3 linked regions of the Stegostoma tigrinum genome follow. The protein of the gene in region 1 binds, or shares a complex with, the protein of each later gene. Links are inferred from orthologs where the notes say so. Each region holds a gene or a part of one and is shown on either strand. Other genes may lie near its edges.

Evidence for each region.
Region 2: the proteins of nfs1 (region 1) and LYR motif-containing protein 4 are in contact, whole or in part, in a crystal structure (PDB 6W1D), measured with the Homo sapiens proteins. The link is inferred for Stegostoma tigrinum from reciprocal best matches to the Homo sapiens genes NFS1 and LYRM4. Residues at the interface, in NP_066923.3 of Homo sapiens: Leu56, Arg57, Pro58, Leu59, Pro68, Leu69, Pro71, Arg72, Leu74, Asp75, Leu78, Glu314, Tyr317, Arg321, Asp372, Arg412, Phe413, Thr414, Thr415, Glu417, Glu418, Tyr421; in NP_065141.3 of Homo sapiens: Phe23, Tyr26, Asn27, Tyr28, Thr30, Tyr31, Arg34, Arg35, Asp38, Val65, Arg68, Gln69, Ile72, Thr78, Asp79, Lys80, Leu81, Ile82, Ile83, Asn85.
Region 3: the proteins of nfs1 (region 1) and iscua are in contact, whole or in part, in a crystal structure (PDB 6W1D), measured with the Homo sapiens proteins. The link is inferred for Stegostoma tigrinum from reciprocal best matches to the Homo sapiens genes NFS1 and ISCU. Residues at the interface, in NP_066923.3 of Homo sapiens: Tyr360, Val361, Glu362, Glu364, Ser365, Leu367, Met368, Ala369, Lys371, Glu399, Asp400, His403, Ser404, His429, Arg432, Leu433, Glu435, Met436, Ser437, Pro438, Leu439, Glu441, Met442, Trp454, Thr455; in NP_998760.1 of Homo sapiens: Tyr35, Val40, His42, Tyr43, Glu44, Val49, Gly50, Ser51, Leu63, Val64, Gly65, Ala66, Pro67, Ala68, Cys69, Gly70, Val72, Lys74, Phe90, Lys91, Thr92, Phe93, Gly94, Cys95, Gly96, Ile99, Lys135.

Annotation. Positions count from the first base shown.
Region 1 is NC_081372.1:9,304,731-9,312,721, reverse strand, and holds the start of nfs1 (cysteine desulfurase, mitochondrial), read left to right. Parts: upstream 1-4,925; 5' UTR 4,926-5,038; coding exon 5,039-5,138; intron 5,139-5,654; coding exon 5,655-5,728; intron 5,729-7,991.
Region 2 is NC_081355.1:11,434,474-11,442,332, forward strand, and holds the start of LYR motif-containing protein 4, read left to right. Parts: upstream 1-4,814; 5' UTR 4,815-5,004; coding exon 5,005-5,090; intron 5,091-7,859.
Region 3 is NC_081379.1:29,049,543-29,056,977, reverse strand, and holds the start of iscua (iron-sulfur cluster assembly enzyme ISCU, mitochondrial), read left to right. Parts: upstream 1-4,372; 5' UTR 4,373-4,456; coding exon 4,457-4,540; intron 4,541-6,854; coding exon 6,855-6,968; intron 6,969-7,435. Other genes in the region: sart3 (squamous cell carcinoma antigen recognized by T-cells 3), read right to left, coding at 281-385, 686-812, 3,705-3,848.

The sequences.
Region 1 (7,991 bases):
GACACCACTTATAAAGAACTATGTACTTGCACCCCTAGGTGTCAGTATTCAACACTGCCCAGGGCGCTACTACTAACTGTGTAAGTCCTGCCCTGGTTTGTCTTACCAAAATGTGACATCTCACATTTATCTGCATTAGACACCATCTGCCATTCCTCAGCCCAATAATCCAATTGATCAAGATCCCATTGTACTCTTAGATAACCTGCTTCATTGTCCACTACACCACCCATTTTGGTATCATCCTCAAACTTACTAACCATACCTCCTACGTTATCATCCAAATTGTTTATACAAATGATGAACAACAGTGGAGCCAGCACCGATCCTTGCAGCACACCACTGGTCACAGGCCTCCAGCCTCAACAACAATCCTCTACCACCACCTCTGTCTTCTACCATCAAGCCAATTTTGTATCCAATTGGCTGGCTCTTGCTGGATTTCATATGATTAAACCTTACTAACCAATCTACCATGTGGAACTTTGCTAAAGTCCATGTAGACAACATCTATGGCTCTGCCTTCATCTGTCTTTTTGGTCAACTTTTCTAAACACTCAATCAGTTTGAGAGAGGCAATTTCCCACACAAAGCCATGGTGACTATCCCTAGTCTGTCATTGCCTTTCCAAATGCACGTAAATCCTGTCTCTCAGAATCCCCTCCAATAACTTACCCACCACTGACGTCAGGCTCACTGGTTTGTAGTTTCCTGGTTTTTCCTTGCAGCCTTTCTTTAATAATGGCACAATAGCCATCTTCTAAGTCTTCCGACACCTCACCTGTGGCTGTCAATAATATAACTATCTATGATAGGAGCCCTGCAATTTCTTTCCTAGACTCACTGGGGTTAAACTTGATCAGGTCCCAGGGATTTATCTACCTTTATGGGTTTTAAGACTTCCAGCAACCCGTCTTCTGTAACGTGGACTCTTTTCATGATATCACCACTTAATACCCCAAGTTCCCGATCTTTCATGTCTTTCTCTGCAGAGATTTTGATTTGCACCAAGACTTAGAAATTAAGATCAAAGTGAACTGCCTAGTACATACAACATTAAAGTCTGTGAGAAGCAACATCTTGAATTAATTATTTTTCTCAGCCTGATACCTGCTGCAGTGTTCCTACTGATAATCATTTAATTAATTTTAACTAAAATCTCATGTAAATCACTGAGACACAGGTTGAATCTCAAACTGATGTATCTGCATTGGCAAGACTTTTCTCCTGGTGGGGAGGGAGTGTCTGGGTATCTCGATTCAAGTGCTCCTGCAACTGAACAAAACTGCTTCAAAAAGACCAATTTCTCAAACAGGGACATAACATTAAAGTTAGAACAGAACCGGAATTTTCCCAATAAACTGACCAAGACATAGTGAAAGAAAGAATAAAGAAAATACTTGCATTTTTGGATTTATTTTGTTCAGATATGTTACGACACACCCCTGGAGCAAGTGGAACATGAATCCAGGGCTCCTGGCTCAGAGATAGGGACACTAAAGAGTCACAGTGTTGCTTCTTTCACTCTCTGCATTGTCAGACTGAAACACAATCTTTCGTGTTAGCAAATGGATGCTGTGGTTCAAGACTTGCACTTAAATAGTGCTTCTCGTGGAATTTCAAAGTACCTTCCAGCCAAATTTACACACAGTAAACACCACAAACAAGGTAATCATAACCAAATAATGTTTCTGTGATGTTGATGATTATTTGTCAGGGTTTTAAGTTGAACAGCTCCACTCTTTAAAAACTAATGCTATGGATCGTTTACATCCACTCAAGTGGACAGATAAGTCCTTAGCTTGGCATCTCGTCTGAAAAAACAGCATTCCTACCATCTCACTTCCTCAGTAGTGTGGAGTATCAGCCTAGATCTTTGTGCTCAAGCCTGGATTGGGGCTTGAACCTAGATTTTTGACTCAGAGGCAGGAGAGTTATCCACTGACCCACAGCTGACACTAGAAAAAAAAGCAGGGGGAGAGAGAATTTCAAACAGCCAACATGGACAGAAAGGATCAAATGACTTCTTTCTGTGCTCTAGAATTCTATGAAATTGAAAAGAAATCTTGTTGCTTTTAAATACTGAAGCAAAAAATCCAATTGTAAGTTATGTGTCACAGTAACTTTACTAATCAGTCCAATATCCCGGAAAACAAGGTCAAACAGTTTTCACTGCTGAAATTACATAATTGATCAGCTTTGGAAAAATTATTACTTTTTTCTGTGAACTACCAAATAATTCACAATAGATTTGCTCAGAAGGAAGATTGTTCTATAAAAATCATACAAGTGTCCAGGGTAGTCAAATACCCAGACTGTTACTAAACTGATGAGGTGTAATGGTGTCTGTAAACCGGAAAAGATGTACCTGGTTCAAGGCATCTGCTTCATTCATTCTAAGCGTTGTCAGATTGAAACATTCCATCATGTTAACAAATGAATGCAGCGGTTCAAGAAGAGAGCTCACCACCACCTCCTCAAAGATAACTAGGGATGAGTAATAAATGCTGGCCCAGCTAGCGATGCACGCATGCCATGAATGAATATAAAAGCAGCAATTTATCGAAGATCAACAACAGGGTTAAATAACAGCTGCAAATTTTGTCCATTGCTTTGTTTTTATGAAAAGGAAAAGGGTATTCAGTCCTTCAAGGCTCTTGCAGCATTTATTCAATCACAGCTGATATGCATCTTAGCTCCATCTATAAGTCTTGGTTCTGTGATCTGTATGGAACGGGTTAACAGACCACAATGCATTTATAGTGGCGATGGTTTTGTAGAAACTGAACAGGTGCAATTGATGCTTGTTAACTGCAGTGACACTGATGAATTAAATAAAACAATGTTAATTCAATGGGACTGTTAATTACAGCAGAACTGGGTGAAACAGGCAGAGGTAGATTGAAAATAGACAGGCAATATCGGCAGAAAAGAACTGAAATTGCTGTAAACACTCAGCAGGTCTGGTAGCATCTGTGGACAGAAAGCAGAGTTAGCATTTCGAATCTAGTGACTCATCTTCAGAATTGAATTCTGAAGAAACTTTGAGTTCTGAAGAAGTGTCCTTGGGCCCAAAACATCAACTTTGCCTTGTCTCCACTGATGCTGCCAGACCTGCTGAATTTTTTCAGCAAATTCAGTTTTTGTTTCGGATTTCCAGCATTCGCAGTTGTTTTGGGTTTTTGGCCATTATAACAGATGTGAAAGAAGTTCTCTTCTTAATAGCGCTATGGGTACATTGCAACAGATGGATGCTAATGTTCAAGACAGAGGATCACCACCACTGGACTTCAGGGTAATTGGGGACGAGGAATAAACACCCATTTGTTAAGCAAGAGTCAAGAAAAAAAAACAGAAGACAAGTGTCAATGGGAACAGCTGTGCCTGTTTCAAGTAGGAAAATCTGAGTGAAAGATCACTGCTAAGTGGCCAACAGACACTTCAGATAGACCATCTGAAAGGGTAACTGAATGACTTAAATGAAACCATTTCGTTTAAATTTCTCAATAAAGTTGCTGGATTTAGTGTGAGACATCCCAATTTTAATTTTTGTTCTCCAAGTTTAAGAAAAACGGGTAAAATCACTCACAAGCCCTAGTACTCTCACCTTACGAAGTCAGTTAATCTCCATTGTCTTGAGATTTCCAAGTGGCCACCAACCACAAAAGCTTCCTGCAAACAGCAAACGGCAAACGATGTGTGTTTTATTGCTTAACGTGAGCCATGCCATAAAAATTCCGAATGCAAAAGTACTGCCAATGTTGAAATAAGAACTGAAAGTAGCAACGTCACACACCACCTAAGGGGAGAGGTGGAGGGATAACATTAACAGAGTCCAGCATTTTATTGTTTCGTGCATTGGTGCCAACATCGTGGGTTGAATTCCCAGAGTGGTTGAGGTTACCATGAAGGACACTCCTCAAGTTGCCGCATCGCCCGCGGTGCGGAGACCCTCAGGTTGGACCACCGTTAAGTCCTCAGCCCTTTCGTCTGGTAACACTATGGCGACTTCACCTTTGGAGTCATGATTAAATCACACTGCAGTGCAATAAAACAAAGAACTGCGGATGTTGGGAGATCTGAAGCAAAAAGAAAGAGAGGTAACCCTCAGAAGAAATTCGGGCAGGTCCTGGCAGCATCTGCGAAGAGTGTTACCGTTTCGAACCCTGAGACCCTTTCTCTTCAGGCACAGCAGAAGAGACACTGCAGGTCTGTCCTGAGAGATGGAGCCTTCATGGCCTGTGCCCACAGCCTGCAATTCATATGTAACTCACCCAACTCGTCGAAGGATCTGCATCCAGCAGAATTCAGCTACTGTGGTTACCCGTCCACTCTGTGTCTCTCCACTCCAGACACACTGATGCAGCAGGTTGCAGTTCTCAGCCAGGAGGTGGGGGAGCGGGTAGTTTTGATGGGCAGGCGCACCGACCAATCGACGCTCGCACAAGGGGGGGTGAGAATGGGGAGGTTTTGATGGGCAGGCTCTTCGCCCAATCGCATCTGACGTGGGGAAGGCGGATACGTCGGACGGCCATTGATGGACAGCAGCAGCGCCCAATCGCAGTAGCCACAGCTGTCGAGCCCACGTGCGTCGACGCGCCGGCTCACGTCGAGCCCGGCATCTCCTTAGCAACAGACAGGTCAGAGCGTTAGGTAGAAGTTTGCGGTTTTTAAATCATTGTTGAATGCAGGAAACAAGTGGAATTCATTTAAGTTAATAACCATTAAATAAATCGGTGAATTCTAAAACAGCTGACTGGTTTACCATGAAATAATGAACAGCCATTACAAAGTGTTAACAATACCATCTGATCCCTCGCTGTTTCGTTGATCTGATGTAGATTACTGGTATAACATTTATTTCCGGATTATTCTTTTTTTTGACATTCGTTTTCTCATATGATTGGCTTCCCGGGGCATCCAAAAGCGTCATTTCCGTTGCTAAGGTGAGAGGTCACCGACAGCTTCCGGCCTGTAGCTCAGCTGTTTATCGCAGGGCTTTCAACGTGCCTCGCATAAGGGGCACTTTCACTGGGATATGCTCGGCAGAACTGCCCTTCGGGGCATCGTGGGGGCCCGAGGAATCCTGTGCAGGAGGTTCGGCGCCTCACAGAGACGCAGGGATGGGGATGAGAATGGTGAGCCTGCGTGGTGGGGAAAGGGAGTGGAATGGAGATGGATTAGAAGATGGGTTGGCGGTGGCAGGTGATGGGGATGGGTTGGGGGAGACTGGGAAGAGGGAAGTGGATCGGGGCGATGCGTTTGTTGGGTGGGGAGGCGGCGGCGGCGGCGGCGGTGTTGGGGAGAGAGAGAGAGTGTGGGAAGTGGATTGGGGGGGCGGGTGAAAGGGGATGGGGGCGTGGTGGGGTACTGGGAAGAAGGAAGTGGAAAGTGGGTCGGGGCGATGCGTTGGGGGGGGGGGGGGGGGGCGCGGGTGAAAGGGGAAGGTGTTTCGGGGGGGGGGGGGGGGCGCGGGTGAAAGGGGAAGGTGTTTCGGGGTGAGGGGAGTTGCGTGGAAGGACTTGTTGAGCAGACGGATCGGAATTAGACCGGGTGGATTTTGAAGGGCGAAATAGTGGTTAGTGTGATACTACCTGAGCTTCACTCGTGAAGGTATTTGCTAAAAGTTATGTAATTTTCTTGCGTTTTTCCAGATAACGATTCTTTAAAAGATTTTAAAGATAAAATTCGACCTCTGTACTTGGATTTCCAGGCAACCACACCAATGGTAGGAATGTTTGATGCATATAATCCAATGAGATGCAAATTAGAGGAGTTTTTAAAGTTGTGTTTGTGTAATCGGATGGCTGACCAGTTAGCCCCAGGCATATTGAATTCTAGACTCAATATTGTTGTGCTCCTAAGATGCTGCTTGGCCTGCTGTGTTCATCCAGCTTCACACTTTGTTATCTCAATATATTGTATCTCCCTTTCCCTTCTGTGATCCTCTAAAGATTTCTGTGCTTCTCTGATTCTGGTCTGTGACCATTTCCACATTTAATTCATTTCCAGTGGCGTATTTGTGTTTATCTGAGTGGGTTCTGAGCTCTTGAATTCCCTACGAAGCCACTTCACCAATTTTAAGATATTCTTCAAAACCAACTCCTTGATTAAGCTTTTGGACACCTGCTGTAAAAAATTCCTTGTGTTCCTTGATGGTGCTTTTGTGAAATGCCTTGGTGCATTCATTACGTATAGGGTAATTCATGATATTTTGAAATGAAGTGTAGTAAGTTTTATTTTTAAACTGTATAGACCGCAGTGACCGGTTGGTGTTTAAACTCATAGAGATATGCAACATAGAAAAGGACCTTGCACTCTTATTTGTCCATGCTGACCAGACATTCTAGATAAATCTAGTCCCGTTTGCCAGCATTTGACCCATATCCCTCTTAAATTCTTCCAGTTTGTACTCCCATCCGGATGCCTTTTAAATTTTGTAATTGTACCAGCCTCCACAACTTCTTCTGGCAGCTCATTCCTTACATGCTGCACCCTTTGCATGAAAAAAGTTGCACCTTATGTCCCTTTTTAAATCTTTTTCCCCCTCTTAGCTTAAACCTTGTGGGGAAAAAACTTTGTTTATTTATTCTATTCATACTCCTCATGATTTTATTAATCCCGAAAAGGTCACCCCTTAGCCTCTGATGTTCCAGGGAAAATGGCCCCAGCGTATTCAGCCTCTCCCTATAGCTTAAACCCTCCAACTCTGACAACATCCTTTGTAGATCTTTGCTAAACCCGTTCAAGTCTCACAATATCCTTCCTGTAGCAGGGAGACCAGAATTGAACACAGTATTCCAAAAGTGGTCTAACCAGTGTGCTGTACAGCCATAACGTGACCTCTTTGCACATTAGCCAAAAAAAAAGCAAGCATACCAAATGCCTTCACTATCCTATCTACCTGTGAGTCCACTTTCAAGGAACAATGAACCTGCACTCCAACGTCTCTTTGTTTAGCAACGCTCCCCAGGACCTTACCATTAAGTGTGTAAGTCCTGCCTTGATTTGCCTTTCCAAAATGCAGCACCTCACACTTATCTAAATTAAACTCCTTCTGCCGCTCCTTGGCGCATTGGCCCATCTGATCAAGATCCCGTTGTACTGTGAGGTAACTTTCTTTGCTGTCCGTGACACCTCCAATTTTGATGTTACCTCCAAACTTACTTACAATACTTACTATGTTCGTATCCCAAACTATTTAAATAAATGATGAAAAGCAGTGGACCCAGCACTGATCCTTTGTGACACCACTGGTCACTGCCTCCAGTCTGAAAAGTAATCCTCCACCACCATCCTCTGTCTTCTGCCTTTGAGCCAGTTCAGTATCCAAATGGCAAAGTTCTTCCTATATGCCATGTGATCTAACCTTGCTAACCAGTCTACCATGAAGAATCTTGTTGAGCACCTTACTGAAGTCCATATCATTCACTTATACCACGCAACAATAATTTTCGTTACTCTTCAAAAAGCCTGATCTAGGTATTGAGACGTGACTTCCCAAACACAAAGCCATGTTAACTATCCTTAACCAGTCCTTGCTTTCCAAATACACGTTGGTCCTGTTCCTCAAGATTGTCTCCAACAACTTGCCCACCACTGACATCAGGCTCACTGATCTTTGATCTTAGATCCCTGGCATTTCCTTACGATCCTTCATAAATAGTGGCACCATGTTGGCCAACCTTCAGTCTTCCAGCACCTCACCTGTAGTTGTCAATAATAGAGATATCTCAGCTAGGGGCTCAGCAATCACTTCCCTTGCTTCCCACAGAGTTCTAGGTACATCTGATCAGGCCTGGGGACTTATAAGCTTTTATGTGTTTTAAGCTAACCAGCACCACCACCTCTGTAATATGGACATTTTTCAAGATGTTGTATTTATTTCCCCACATTCTTTACCTTCCTATCCTTCTCCACAGTAAACACTGCAAAATACTCATTAATTATCTCCCACATCTGCAGCCCGACTTCAATTAGACCCCACAGCC
Region 2 (7,859 bases), on another chromosome or scaffold:
TACAATTTTGAGGAGGAGACAGGAATAAAGAGACCTGGAGATGAATGTACACTAAAGATAAATTAAATTGAACAGTTTTTTTTGGGGGGGGGGTGGTGGGCGCGGAAGTGAAACAAGAACAGAGATGCCTGGTGATGTGTGTGCTTATTCTTTAAAAATGCAGGACTAGTTGAATCCTTGGTTTTTTTTTAAAAACAGAGGAGTGTACACAAAAACAAACAAGGTATTCTAAGAGATAATGGGAACTGCAGATGCTGGAGATTCCAAGATAATAAAATGTGAGGCTGGATGAACACAGCAGGCCAAGCAGCATCTCAGGAGCACAAAAGCTGACGTTTCGGGCCTAGACCCGTCATCAGAGAGGCATTCTTCATCAGAGAGGTATTCTAACCCTTTAACATACTGGTTAAACATCAGCTATAATATCTTGTTCGATTCTGGAGTTCACACTTTAGGAAGAACGTCAGGGCTTTGGAAATGATACAAACATGATTTACTAGAATCATCCCAGGGTTTAGCGACTTCAGTCATGCAGAGATGTTATTTACCAAGGAGCAGAAAAAGAATAGAAGTTAATTAGATGAAGTGTTCACAGTCCAGAATGGTTTGCAAAAAAATAAATAAAGGACACAAACGTAAGATGATTAGCAGAAGAACCAGAGACCACAAGCAAACATTTTTGTCACTCATCATTTCGCACATACCACAGATAGAACATAGAACATAACAGCACAGTACAGGCCCTTCGGCCCTCGATGTTGTGCCGACCTGTCATACCGATCTAAAGCCCATCTAACCTGCACTATTGCACGTACGTCCATATGCTTATCCAATGACGACTTAAATGTACCTAAAGTGGGCGAATCTACTACTGTTGCAGGCAAAGCGTTCCATTCCCTTACTACTTTCTGAGTAAAGAAACTACCTCTGACATCTGTCCTATATCTTTCACCCCTCAATTTAAAGCTATGCCCCCTCGTGCTCGCCATCACCATCCTAGGAAAAAGGCTTTCCCTATCCACCCTATCTAACCCACTGATTATCTTATGTGTCTCAATTAAGTCACCTCTCAACCTTCTTCTCTCTAATGAAAACAGCCTCAAGTCCCTCAGCCTTTCCTCGTAAGACTTTCCCTCCATACCAGGCAACATCCTAGTAAATCTCCTCTGCACCCTTTCCAAAGCTTCCACATCCTTCTTATAATGCGGTGACCAGAACTGTACACAATACTCCAAGTGTGGCCGCACCAGAGTTTTGTACAGCTTCACCATAACCTCTTGGTTCCGGAACTCGATCCCTCTATTAATAAAAGCTAAAACACTGTATGCCTTCTTAACAGCCCTGTCAACCTGGGTGGCAACTTTCAAGGATCTGTGTACATAGACACCGAGATCTCTCTGCTCATCTACACTACTAAGAATCTTACCATTAGCCCTGTACTTTGCCTTCCGGTTACTCCTACCAAAGTGCATCACCTCACACTTGTCTGCATTAAACTCCATTTGCCACCTCTCAGCCCAGCTCTGCAGCTTATCTATGTCTCTCTGCAACCTACAGCATCCTTTGTCACTATCCACAACTCCACCGACCTTAGTGTCGTCTGCAAATTTACTAACCCATCCTTCTACGCCCTCATCCAGGTATTTATAAAAATGACAAACAGCAGTGGACCCAACACCGACCCTTGCGGTACACCACTAGTAACTGGTCTCCAGGATGAACATTTCCCATCAACTACCAGCCTCAGTCTTCTTTCGGCAAGCCAATTTCCAATCCAAACTGCTATATCTCCCACAATTCCATTCCTCCGCATTTTGTACAATAGCCTATTGTGGGGAACCTTATCGAACGCCTTGCTGAAATCCATAATTTCCTTAATAATAATTTCCTTACTTATTCTCAGTCTGAAAAATCAGAATATATTTTGAGACACAGTACATCAGTATACTTTTAAAAGATGAGCTTGTGATATCATCATTGTATCATAGAATATGACCTAATTGTATAAACACTGCATACTCCACCTTAAGTAGATCACTTGAAGTATGAATTGCTACTACAAGTATGATGCTCAGCTATAACATTAGTGTAACACTTATCTGTAACTCTTACGTGTTTGTAATTCAATAATTATACATGATAACCAGTTGAAATAAGCATCTATTGGATCCTTCAACAGTACACTCCGTTGAGGTTGTACTGGATCTTGGATTTGGATTTCTGCTGCTTTGGACAGTGGATGTTCAGGCCAATTCAGATTGGGTCACTTGGAACATAAGAATAAACTAGTGAGCAAGCAAACTAACAAATACATTTATGCATCATCCAGATAAGTCAATTTCAACTGAGTAACAAAAAAAAAATGCCATGCACATTCAAAAATACCCAGTTTCTGGACAATTCTGGTTTGTAGACTGCCAATTTTGAGAATGTCTACTTGTAATTATTTAAATCTAACTGTCTTTGTCAATGAATTGATCAAAGTTGGGAAATGAGAATGTCCCAGATTTACAACTTGAGTGAAAACAGCACATGAATAATTTATTACACTGTTTAGATCTACAGAATGGCTGTAAATTGGGAGAGGGGAGTGTGCAATAGGACCTGAATGTTCTTGTGCACCAGTCAGGTAAGCATGTAGGTGCAACAGGCAGTAAAGCAGGCAAATGGTATGTTTGCTTTCATAGCGAGAGGTTGAGTGTAGGAGCAGGGAAGTGTTGTTGCAGTTATACAGGGCCTTGGCAGGACCACACTTAGAACATTGTGTGCAATTTTGGTCTCCTTTTCTGAGGAAGTCACTCTTGCTCTCAAGGGACTACAGTGAAGGTTACCAGGCTGATTCCAGGGATGGTGGGACTGACAAGTGGAGAGATTGACTAGATTAGGATTATTTTCGCTGGAATTCAGATGAGCGAGTTGGGGGGGGGGGGGAAAGAGGGGAGAAGAGGAGATGTCATAGAGACTTTTAAAATCTTAATGGGACTGGACAGGGTAGATGCAGGGAGCCTGTTCCTGATGGACGTGTCCAGCACAGGGGTCACAGTCTAGGGATTTGGGATAGACAGAGAATGGAGATGAGGAGATACTTGTTCACCCAAAAGTGATGAGCCTGTGGAATTCATTACCACAGGAAGTAGTTGAATGTACTCAAAAGGCAGCCAGATATAGCAGTTGGAGTGAAAGCAGGATTAGGCTCTTGAGTTGGACAATCAGCCATGAACGTGATGATTAGCAGAACAGGCTCGAAGGGTACAAATGACCTCCTCCTGTTCCTCTATGTTTCTCATCATACTTTGGAAACAACAGAAGGATTTAAATGGATTTCTCCTATGATAAGATCAGTAGGCTATTGGGACATGGAGTGATCTGTACAAAAATGTATAGAGACTAAGTGTATTGCTAATTTTATTACTCCAAAACAAATTCCCTCTCAACTCACTTGGTGGCAGTCACTTATTATCAATACTACCAGAATTCCTGCTCCATTAAAAAAATCTCAATAGAGCCGTGGTAACTGTGTAGATGTGACCAATGCTGTGTGAGATTAAAAAGGCAGCATATATTTTATATTAACTAACTTATAGATCAAATAGCTATTGACAAGCAAAACCTCATAAGAAAGCTCTAAGGGAAAACTCTTTTCAAGCACAAATGGCAATATTTTGAATAAGTGCTTTGATTTGTGTACAAGATACATGTGACTAAGAACAAGGTAACACAGAATTTACACCAGAGAAACTGGTCTGTTTATATCACACATCTCCCACATTTCAAACAACATTGACTCCATATTATGCAGAGATAGTAGGAATTGCTGACGCTGGAGAATCCGAGATAACAAAAGGTGTAGAGCTGGATGAACACAGCAGGAAAGCTGACATTTCGGGTCGAGAAGGGTCAGCTTTCCTGATCCTCTGATGCTGCTTGGCCTGCTGTCTTCATCCAGCTCCACACTTTGTGTACTCCATATTATCCAATTGGCTTGAACACCCACAGTCCAAAGAACCTGACCAGAAATCCAACAAAGTCTAAAATCTGACGTAGCCTTAGTCTTGAGATTTCTGGTTGAGTGAATGTATTTGTGCTGTGATGAAAGCAGAATTGTCACCTTTTGTTAAGTACATACCAGCTACATCATTTCTACATATCTTTCTACCCGCTTTTGTCGTACACACCCTCCTCTACCCCCATAATCCTGCAAATCCCAATTCGTGGAGGAATCTGTCTCTACCACTCTTTCAGATAAAAGGTATTCCAGACCCTAATGAGCCTCCCGGTGTGAAAACGTTGCTCATTGCCATCCACTTTATTTTAGTTTCAGATCTCCAGCACCAACGGCGTTTCTGCATTGTTTCGCGTCCTTTTTGTACAGGCTGCGTCACAGCCAAAAATGAGAGATCGGAGGAGCGCTCAAAAGTTGCGTGCATGAAGAACAAAACCTGATAACGATTATTAACCCTGCCCAACAGCAAGTAACTGTGCAATGAATTGCATTCCTCGAGACACCGGACGTGGTTCCCCGACACGTCCCTTCTATTTTAGTCTCAGGATTATAAAAGAGAACTCCTTTTTGGAACGATGACCTTGTTTAAAAAAAAAGGAACCACCACGGGCATATTCTATATCCCTGTGCTCTTAACATGCACAACTTCTCACGAACCAACTCACCTTCTTTGCAAAGATACAACAGTGACACCGTCCCTTCCTTGACCTCTTTTTTCCCCTCCCACCACCTCAACAACACAAATTGACAATAGTAGGACACTGTCTTGCCAGTCGAGAGGAGAGAACAGTTTTATGAAAATAAAAGGTGTTAGAGAATGCGAACAGTGGATCCTACTTTTAGGATTTTGCAAGGCAAAAGCAGAACGGACGTATTCAGTTTTGTTTTGAATCCTGAACGGTCGAAGGTTCCACAGGACAGCCGTTGCCTGCACAACGTTCCATTTCAGGCACGCGCGCCCAGCCACCGGGGTCCTGCGTGGTAAAGACCGAAGAACGAAGATGGCGGTGCCCACAAGCAGTCAGGTCCTGTCTTTATACAGGTTGATGCTGAAAGAAAGCAAGAAGTTCACCAGTTACAATTATAGGTAAAAAGAAGTAATTTTGTTTTCCGCCAGGGAATGTTGATATTTGCTACGTACTTTGCTTATCAATCCCATGTCACACTCCTCCATCCCACTTAAGCCGCAATTTAATTTCAACCACTGACATTTTATTTATGTAGCCGTTCTTAATGCGAGAAAAACGGGCAAAAACGCAATCAAAAGCTCGCGCGCGCGCGCGCACACACACACACACACGGGAAAAAAAAATCTCAGGCAAAAGCGAGATTAGAAGCGGCGAACAGAATTTAAGTTTGATATAATAGGAACTGCAGGTGCTGGGGAATCCAAGATAACAAAGTGTGAAACTGGATGAACACAGCAGGCCAAGCAGCATCTCAGGAGCACAAAAGCTGACGTTTCGGGCCTAGACCTAGGCTCTCTGATGAAGGGTCTAGGCTCGAAACGTCAGCTTTTGTGCTCCTGAGATGCTCCTTGGCCTGCTGTGTTCATCCAGCTTCACACTTTATTATTTAGGAAAGCTGACGTTTCGGGCCTAGACCCTTCATCAGAAATCTGAGAGATCGGCTTTAAAGAAAGGTTTGAAAAAAAGGGATCAGTGGGAGATCCACAAAATGTCAGACCTGACCAGGGATAGGTGTGTTTCTGGCTTTGGGTCCTGGATAAAATTCAGAAACACTGGGTGAGACCATGAAGGGATTTCAAACCAAGATTGAGAAGTTGAAGGTGGAAGTGTCAAGAAAGTCATATGTTTATACATTGTCTTTCATGATCGTTGGAAAAAAATCAAAATGCTTTACAATCAATTAATTGTTATGGGAATGTAGGTCACCAATGCCAGACTAAAGCTTGATTAAGATTTTGTGCTGAATAAGATAGAGTTGCAACAACAAGAGCTGAGGAAGGGGTCACCTGATGAAAAACGTTAACTCTGATTTTTATTTTCTTCACAAATGCTGCCAGGCCTGCTGAGCTTTTCCAGCAACTTCAGTTTTTGTCCCTGATTTACAGTATCTGCAGTTCTTTCTGTTTTTATTTAGGATACAATCTCCGGACTTTTAGATGTATTATTAAAGTCAGTCCTTTTACAACACACATATTTCCTCCAGCCCTTCACACACTCACTGGTCATCAAGCATTTATCTGCTCATTCAGAGATAGTAGGAGCTGCCGACTCTGCAGTCTGAGATAACAAGGTGTAGAGGTGGATGAACACAGCAGCCTGGGCACATCTTGTTTTTTAAGCACTTGGCCCATAGCCTTGTATGTTACGCCTTGCAAGTGTTTATTGAAATACTACTTAAATGTTGTGATCGTTCGCACCTTTACCACTCATTCAGGCAGAGCTCTGGATACCCATCACTAATTTGGTGAAAATGTTCTTCCTTGAATTCCTTCTAAACCTCCTGTCTTTTAAATCTAAACTGCTCAATTACTGAACCCTCTACTAGGAGAATTTTCTTCCTTTCGAACTTTCTATACCTCATAATTTTGTATTTATCAGTTAAGCCCCTACCTGTCTTTTGTCCTTTAAGGGAAACAACCCCAGTCTATCTAGTTTCTCATCATAGTTGAGACGCTCCAGCCCAGCCGATATCCTGGTGAATCCTCTCTAGAGCATTCACATCCTTCCGACAGTGTTGTGACCAGTACTGCACACAACAATCCAGTTGTGGTTTAACTAACATCTTTTGCAGCTCCGTCAAAACTTTTCTGCTCTTGTATTCAGCATCTTGACACATAAAGACAAGTATCCCATGATTTCCTAACCATTTCATCTACCTGTACTGTTGTCTTCAAGGATATGTGACATGAACAAAAATCTGTGTGATCCTCTGTACTTCTAAGTACATTGTGTACTCCCTTGCCTTGTTTGTGCTCCCAAAGTGCATCACCTCACTTTTCTGGATTCAATTCCATTTGCCACTGTTCTTCCCTTCTGACCAACCTGACTGTATCATCCTGTGGTCTAAGGCTTTCCTGCTCATTTACCACACCACCAATTTTCCTGTCATCTGTAAACTTACTGATCAAACCTCCTACATTCATGCCTAGATCATTAATGAGCACTATAAACAATATTGAACCCTGTGGTACAGGAGTGTATGGGCTTTTACCTTCTTGACCAGGATACTGGTATGACATATCCTGTATGACATCTTGTCAAAAAATTTACTGAAGTACATTTAAAGTGCACAAGCTGCCCACTGTCATCTCCACACTTATTAACCACTTCAAATAACTCAAATCAGACTTGTCAAATACAATCTCGCCTTGACAGACACATGTTGACTATCCTTAATTAATCTTTGTTGGTCCAAATTGAGATTAATTCTGTCCTTCAGTATGCTAGCCTTGTCCTCCTAGGTGGTAAAGATTGTCAGTTTTGGAAGGTGCTGACAAGGGAACTTGGGAACTTGCTGCAGTGCATCTTGTTCTTGATGATCAAGACCCATTAGTTTATTTGCAGCCAAGTAATATCAAACATCTAATAAAACAAGACAAGTCAGTTAACAGCAATGTGCCTTTACCTAAGAAGCATAGCCTCAAAAAAGGTGTCACAAATTTAGGAGGGAGATGACAAATTTCTTTACTCAAATGATTCTGAATTCTTGGAATATTCTTTCTTTTAGAGGCTGAATATGCACAGCACTGGTTCAAAATAAATATTGAAAGGTTTTTAGAGGATTAAGGGATTTGAGAGATACAAGAATAGTGCAGGTAGACAGAGTTGAAGTAGAGGATCAGCCACAATCTTATTAATGGTCGGAGCAGCGAAGAATGGCCTGTTTT
Region 3 (7,435 bases), on another chromosome or scaffold:
GGTATTTGCAAATGAGAAGAACTAACTTTCAAGATTTCATTATTTGAAATTACATATACTTTTAGTCTTTTGATACATTCACAAATTAATAAACAAAGTCTCTTTCCTCCTTCCCACTTCAATTCACTGGGGGAGCTAGAAAGATTAACACTTTGCCCAGCCAACAGCTACGTTCTACCTGAAGCAGAACAGTGGGGGATATGTTTGTATTCATCAAAGAAAGCTGTGATTACTCAATGTTAAGAGTCAGGCAAACACTAAAGTGTAAAAAAGAGCTTACAAATATAATCTTTGATGGCCTTCTCAAACAGTTCATACACTTTCTCCCTGTCAGTTGATCCCTCTGCCATTAGAATCTCATCCTTTAGCCAGTCCAGCCAAAGCTCTGAAAAACAGAATTGGATTGGTTTCCTCAATATAACTGAGAACAGAACCTTCACAAACAGAACTAGTCAGGATTACGAGAGCTGTGGCTTTAAGGTTGCCATGTCAATAACAGAATGTTCACATGATCAGTTTCGAAGAAACAGGAGAAATTTTTAAAAAAACAGCCAAAATCTTGTGGAAAGTGGATTAATTCAAACTTTTATCAGGATGCTGGTCATAAACATATTACAAAGTCTGATCTGCATTACATTATCAGGTTTCAGCTGGTGTTGCAATTGTCTAACAAGGATAGTCTTACCTTCTGTAAGAGGGAACAGTTCACTCATCTTCTGTCGAGCAGCTCGTAACTTCTCCAGCTCCCCCTCCTGACGCAGCAATTTTATTAGATCGACATGACAGTTGTAATCATAGGCACTTATGGAAAGCTAAAATAAATGGCACAGATTACTGCTGTCCTCATGCCAGTGATTAATATTAGAATACATCTGTCATTTTATTAAACTTTCTAATAGCCAATTGGTTATCAATAAGTCTGCTTCTCAATTTTTAAACTTGTCATTCACATCAGACAAAAATGGGCGTCTATTTAGTCTATGGCAAACCTTGACAACTGTGTTAATGCCACAAAATAAAAACATCAAGCTTCCTGGCCAATGACATAACAAGCATAAAGCCATATGAAACTCAGAAGTAAAATGTTTTAAACAGATAAACAGAGGGTTTAAAAATACCCTTTCATCATCACTTAGTGTGAAATGATACACTATTTTACATTGTTGCATAGAGGACTGCTCTACCATGAAAACCACAATATTCTTCTGTAAAAGTGCAGCCTTATTGCTTTGAGGGCAGCAAGTCTCTGTAAACATGGGAACAAATCGGAGGTAAGATTGACTCTTCAGTGTCTTTTTTCTTCCTACTGAATAATTTTATTTATAATAAATCAGATTTCAGTATTTCACTGAGCATGAAGTACTTCAGTCCACAGAATTGTGGTAATTTCCATAATTGAACATAGTCGCCCAAGTGGAATAAAGTACTTCCACTGCCATAAACGGTATACAATATAAAGAATCGCATTACTGTTCTCCAGAATCTCACTCAGTTTACATATGGAAACTGCTGAGAAAGTTGTTTACATGGAGATATAGCTGGGACACAATACAGCTTCCAGAGCTAAACCGTTCTTAGACGTCCGTGATATCCAACAATTTTCAAATAAATGACCTCACTTGAGATGTTGACGGTGAATCCTGACAGTTTATCTTACACTTTCACTATGTTTGAGTATGATGATCTCATTGCACTGGTGAGAGTTATAAACAGCTTACGTCTGTAATTTGCTAGCAAGAGAACTGACTTAAATATCACACTCATTAAACTGGCCCATCACAACTGGCACTTAAATTTTTCACAATAGCATTGGAAAGGATAAGCAGCAGATTCTTGAGGAACCACAGTGTCCCAAATTTCTGAGATGTGACTTTAGTCTAGATCAAGACTAATTAAAGTTTAGTAATGATCATAGAGTCTTGAGAAATTTAGAAAAAATAGGAGTAGAATTAGGCCAAGATAACAAAATGTGTAGCTGGATGAACACAGCAGGCCCAAGCAGCATCTCAGGAGCACAAAAGCTGACGTTTCGGGCCTAGACCCTTCATCAGAGAGGCTCTCTGTGAAGGGTCTAGGCCCGAAACGTCAGCTTTTGTGCTCCTGAGATGCTGCTTGGCCTGCTGTGTTCATGCAGTTTACACACTTTGTTATCTTGGATTCTCCAGCATCAGCAGTTCCCTTTTACCTCTGAGTATAATTAGGCCATTCAGTCCTTCAAGTCTGATCTGCTTTTCAATATAATAAGAACATATAAGACATAGGAGCAGAAATTAGGCCATTCGGCCCATCGAGTCTGCTCTACCATTCAATCACGGCTGATAATTTCCTCAGCTCCACTCACCTGCTTTCTCCCCGAACCCTTGATCCCCTTGATAATTAAGAACCTATCTATCTCCGTCTTAAATGGACTCAATTACCTAGCAATCATCAATAATGATCATCCTACTCAGTAGTCTGTTCCCACCTTCTCTCCAAACCCTATGATTCTTTAGCCCCAAGAGCTATATCTAACTCCATTTTGAAAACATTCAATGTCTTATCTCTAACAGCTTTCTGTAACAGATAATTCCACAAGCTCACCAGTCTGCATGAGACATTTCTTATCTCAGTCCCTAATGGCATTCTCATATTCCTAAATCGTGACCTCTAGTTTGGATTCCTTTTATCAGAACTATCCTTCCTGCATAAAGCCTGTCTAGTCCTGTCATAATTTTATAGGTTTCTACAAGATTCCAACCTCATACTTGTAAACTCCAATGAAGATTGTCCTAACAAAGCCTTCGTATATCAGTCTTGCTGTCCCGGTGTCAGCCTCGTAAACCTTTGTTGCACTATCTCCAAAGCTGGAACACTATTCCTCAGGTAACAAGATAAAAACTGAACACAATACTCTAGCTTCGCTCTCAGCAAGGCCCAGTACAATTTCAACAAGACATCTTTGTTCCTGCAGTAGGATCCTCTCACTAAGGCGGCCACCTGCTTTCTTCACTGCTACATGTGTATGCTCACTTTCACTGACTTGTGTACAAGGTCACCCATGTCTCTTGGACCTACTCCTTTTCCAGTTACCATTTAGATAATAATCTGCCTTCCTGTTTTTGCTACCAAAGTGGATAATTGCATATATATCCATTATACTCCATAGCTGGATCCAAGCACTAATCCCTGTGGTAACTTACTAGTCACTGGCTGCCAGTGAGATTTATTGTGAGTCAAGGCATATGCTTCAAGTCATTTGGATTTTATTGGTCATGACTTTATCATACATACATAGCTAGAAATTGGGCCATTCATTCAACTCAGCGTGAACCTGAGTACTATGCCCCAGAAAATTATATTTTCTCTCCGTAGATGACCTCAGGCATTTTGCCTTTCTCTTGGCTCTTCGAAGGATTAGTCCTGACTACGTGGTTTTCAAGTGATTTTTCAGATGTTTGTTTTACTTCGGCAATGACGGAAATGTTTTGGTTTACTTATTTCACAACAGTGAACAGGCCAGGCGGACAGGAGTCAGCAGGAGGTCGGAGGAATGGGAGAGGGAACTTCGGGGTGAGTGGGGAGGGGTCGAGAGTGCGTGGTAGAGGTGGGATGAGGGCGAAAGGGCTGGGAGAGTAAGTGGGACTGGGACGGGGCTGGGGGAAGGGGGAGCTCGTGCTGAAGTTTTAAATCCCGCGGGCTCACTCCCGCCCGCCATCACGTCGCACCTGCTCTTCCAAACGCTGGATTTCCGCCTCGTTTTCTTGCTCGTCCTCCGAAGAGTCTTCCATTTCTTCCTCCGAGTCGCCCCCGGTTCCAACCTCCAATTCCTCAGCCTCACTCGACCGTCGCCTCCCGATAGTCGCCATCATGCGCAGCAGTGCGGGAAAGGCCGAGACGCCCGATCAAATAGAACACTTCACATCCTGAGAAACACAACTACTTCTTATAGAACAATTCCTTATTTTAATAGAAGCTTCAGTTTGAAGTACAATTCCACGCATTACAGCGGGAGCTGTTTTAAACAGAAATTTTCGGGAGAATATGGGACAAATGGATGTAATATTTACAACATAACAACGCGACATGTGGGCTTTAATGAAACTGACGATTGCATATGACGAAAGCGGGGTACGAATTGTCACCATATTGGTAAGGCCGCGATGCAGAGCGCGTCGCGATGTTTTGTTTACCTTCCAGAGCGGTTTTCAGTTGGTAACGCAACCACGCAAGGGGCGTGCCCAGCCAGCCACATGGTCACGTAAGGGGCGTGGTAAACAAAACAACATAGGGACACGTTTGTTAGTGGCGCGTTGCTCACTCGTCAATGCGTCCCGTGGGGAGGGCGTGGTCAGTGCATGACATAACCACGCGGGGGCGTGGTCAGTCTTACGTAACAGCACTTGTTGGAGGGGGTGTCAGTGTTGGTGACGTCGGGCGGTGAAGTAGGAGGTTGTGACGCACTCGGCTATTGGTAGTGATGGCGGCGGTTATAATTACTGGTTCTCTCTCGCGGCTTGTGCTGAAGGCTCGGGCACCCCTCGTCGCTGCTTATCACAAAAAGGTAACTGCGCTTGGGAATGGTAGCAGCCTTTACTCTGCGCCTGGTCCCGAGGCTGTCCACGTTGGGGTGGGCCAGGGGAGTCCGCAAATTCCCACTGTAGTGAATGTAATTTAATCTAATCTATTCAAAACGGCAGGTAGGAGGCTGTTAGCTAATGAGAGCACCGTCTGGTGATGAGGGTGATCTTACATATGCCGTGTGGCATGAGCGTTTCTAACACTTAGTCTCTAAGGATACAAAAAGTGTTGTGGCTGCAGTTAAGAGGGTGTGCAGGGGAAAGTGGAGTGGTGGGTAAAGAAGGAATGCCTGTAAAAGTAAAGCAGAATGGCTACTAGAAACGTGAAACAGAGTGAGAAAATGCTGGCAAAACACAGCAAGTCTGGCACCGTCCGTCGAACGAGAAAGTTTTCTCAATGCCTCCGGTCCATTATAACCGAATCAGCGTGTGTACCACGCTGTAGACAAATGGGATGTTGGAGTGAGTGTGACAGATGGCGAGGATACCAGAACAGAAGGCAAAAGAGTGTATTAACGGTGCCAAAGAAGACATTGAGACTTGAAAGAGGTGCGCAAAGAAGAAAATGCGTCTGCTCTGCTGACAGCAAAGTTGACAAGATGCAAAGTGCCAGAGTTTGGGTGGTGTGCTGTAATCGAAACAGAGGAAAGATGGCATGCCCTGGAGGGATTGAACTCAATGTTGTGGAGGCTGTTGCTTTTTGGAATGGGAATTGAGATGCTGTTCCTCCAGCTTGTGCTAAGGTTTGATGGAACACTGCAGCTAGCCTAGGACAAAAATGCTCAATGACAGCGAGATAGTTGAAATAGCAAGCAACTGGGACATAATTCATTCTTACAAAGTGAAGGTATTCTGCAAGCCATTTGTCTGTTTTGTGTTTGGCCTCAACAATGTGAGTAGCAAGTGATAGATTACATGCAAAGTAGTACAAGCAAACTACTTCCTCACCTGGAATGTGTACTTAGGGCTGTGAACAGTGAGGAGGTCAAGTGATATGTAATCTCTAATTGTATAGAAATATGCCATAGAGGTGAGGAAGTGTCAGAAGTGAAGTAGAGAAATAGATCAGGGTGTCTCAGAGAATCAGTAGTGGGGAATGGAAAAATGTTTGGTATTGTGGTTGAAGGAAAAAAAACATTTCAAAGGCAACCCTGTCAACACTTGATGGAGAAACTTGGAAAATGGAATGCTGTCCTTGTACAAGGAAGTGTAGCCAAGCATTTTGGGTTTTCTGAAGAAGGGGTCTAGACCCAAAATGTCAGCTTTGCTGCTTGGCTTGCTGTGTTCATCCAACTGTACACTTTGTTATCTGAGATTCTTCAGCATCAGTTCCAAATACAACTGTCTAGAGTTGATGGGTTTGTAGTGGATACTGGTGGGCACCCTATCCCCAGAAATGGGAATAGAAGACCAGGAAGAGTCAGAAGTGGACCTCGTGGAAGTGAAAAGGATAGAAATTGAGGGATTGTATATTCATTGTGAAGGGGTGGCAGCTAGGGCCAAAAAAAACAAATTGTGGAGCCAATGTAAAGCATCAGAAGAGTCACGTGTATATGGGAAGAAAGTGAATAAGAGGAAAATAAGAAATATGTGGATCAGCGAGAAGACTGAAATTGTGGATCTGTCCAAGCAGCCTATTTTGTGGATTTTGGGAAGAAGGTTGTAGCAGGCTGTGCAGGGTTGGGGATAATGAGGTGGGAAGTAGTAATGGGGATAGGTCCCAACATCATCTGTGGAAACCTATGATTAGCGATGGGGTCGTAGTCCAGATGGAAAGGGTGGAGGGGGTGTGGCGGCAGCGTGAGCGTGTGGTGTTGAGGAGAGGCAGGGGGCATGGGCATGTGGTGTTGAGGAGAAGCAGGGGGTGTAGGCATGCAGTGGTGATGAGAGGAAGTTGTAATTGAATTTATAAAGTATTTTGGGCAGCAGTGCTGTACAGCTGGTGAAATATTCTTCATGTCTAGTCCAGATTGTATGCAATGCAACAGCCAATTTGCACATTACAAATAAAACTTCAGCAAAGAGCTGTATGGTCTTATGACCAAATTATCTCTGGATAGATTCTGACCAGAACTGTGGAGGTAATGCGGTGGAATCTTTTCCACCCACCTGATAGGGCAGACTGATGTCTTTCAAATGACGACAGTTCCGACAGCGCTGCGTTCTGTCGGTCCTGAACTAGACTATAGGCTTGGTCTTTCTTTGTGCTTAATGAAACTTGAACACAGTTTTGAAATCAGAAGCTAGAGTTCTATTGAGTCATCATGACTTGCACTATTGTATTTCCTTCTACCGTAGGTAGTGGACCACTATGAGAATCCCAGAAATGTTGGATCCTTGGATAAGAATGCAAAAAATGTTGGAACTGGCCTGGTTGGTGCACCGGCTTGTGGTGATGTCATGAAACTACAGGTAAAGTTTTTTGAGGTGATCCAGGATATGGGTAGCAATGTATTTAAATGTAACATTATCAATTGAGCCATTATGTCCCTTTTTAATTTATTTAGCAAAGTTGAAGGGCTGCGTATAATGGTTCAGTTTGCTTCCCAAAGGTAAGATATGGGTCACCATTTCAGAGAGCTCTTTGGATGAATGAGCTGTTCTCAGTCCAGCAGTTGGCTTCAGTGCCATAGTTAGATGAATTAAATTTAGAGCTCAACTTTTGATCAGTGATCCAGAGAAGTTTGCGTTTAAACGTAGCATGTTCTTCAAACCTGTAAAGCTATTAATGTCTATGGAGCCATCTCCTCAAGCATTGGCACGTTCAAGTGAGGGGAGACAGACAGACAGAAAACTGAATAGCATAGCACACCAGAAATCATGCATATTTTTTTTAAAAGTTCCCCAAACTTAATAGGGTATTTCTAGAAGTATAAACT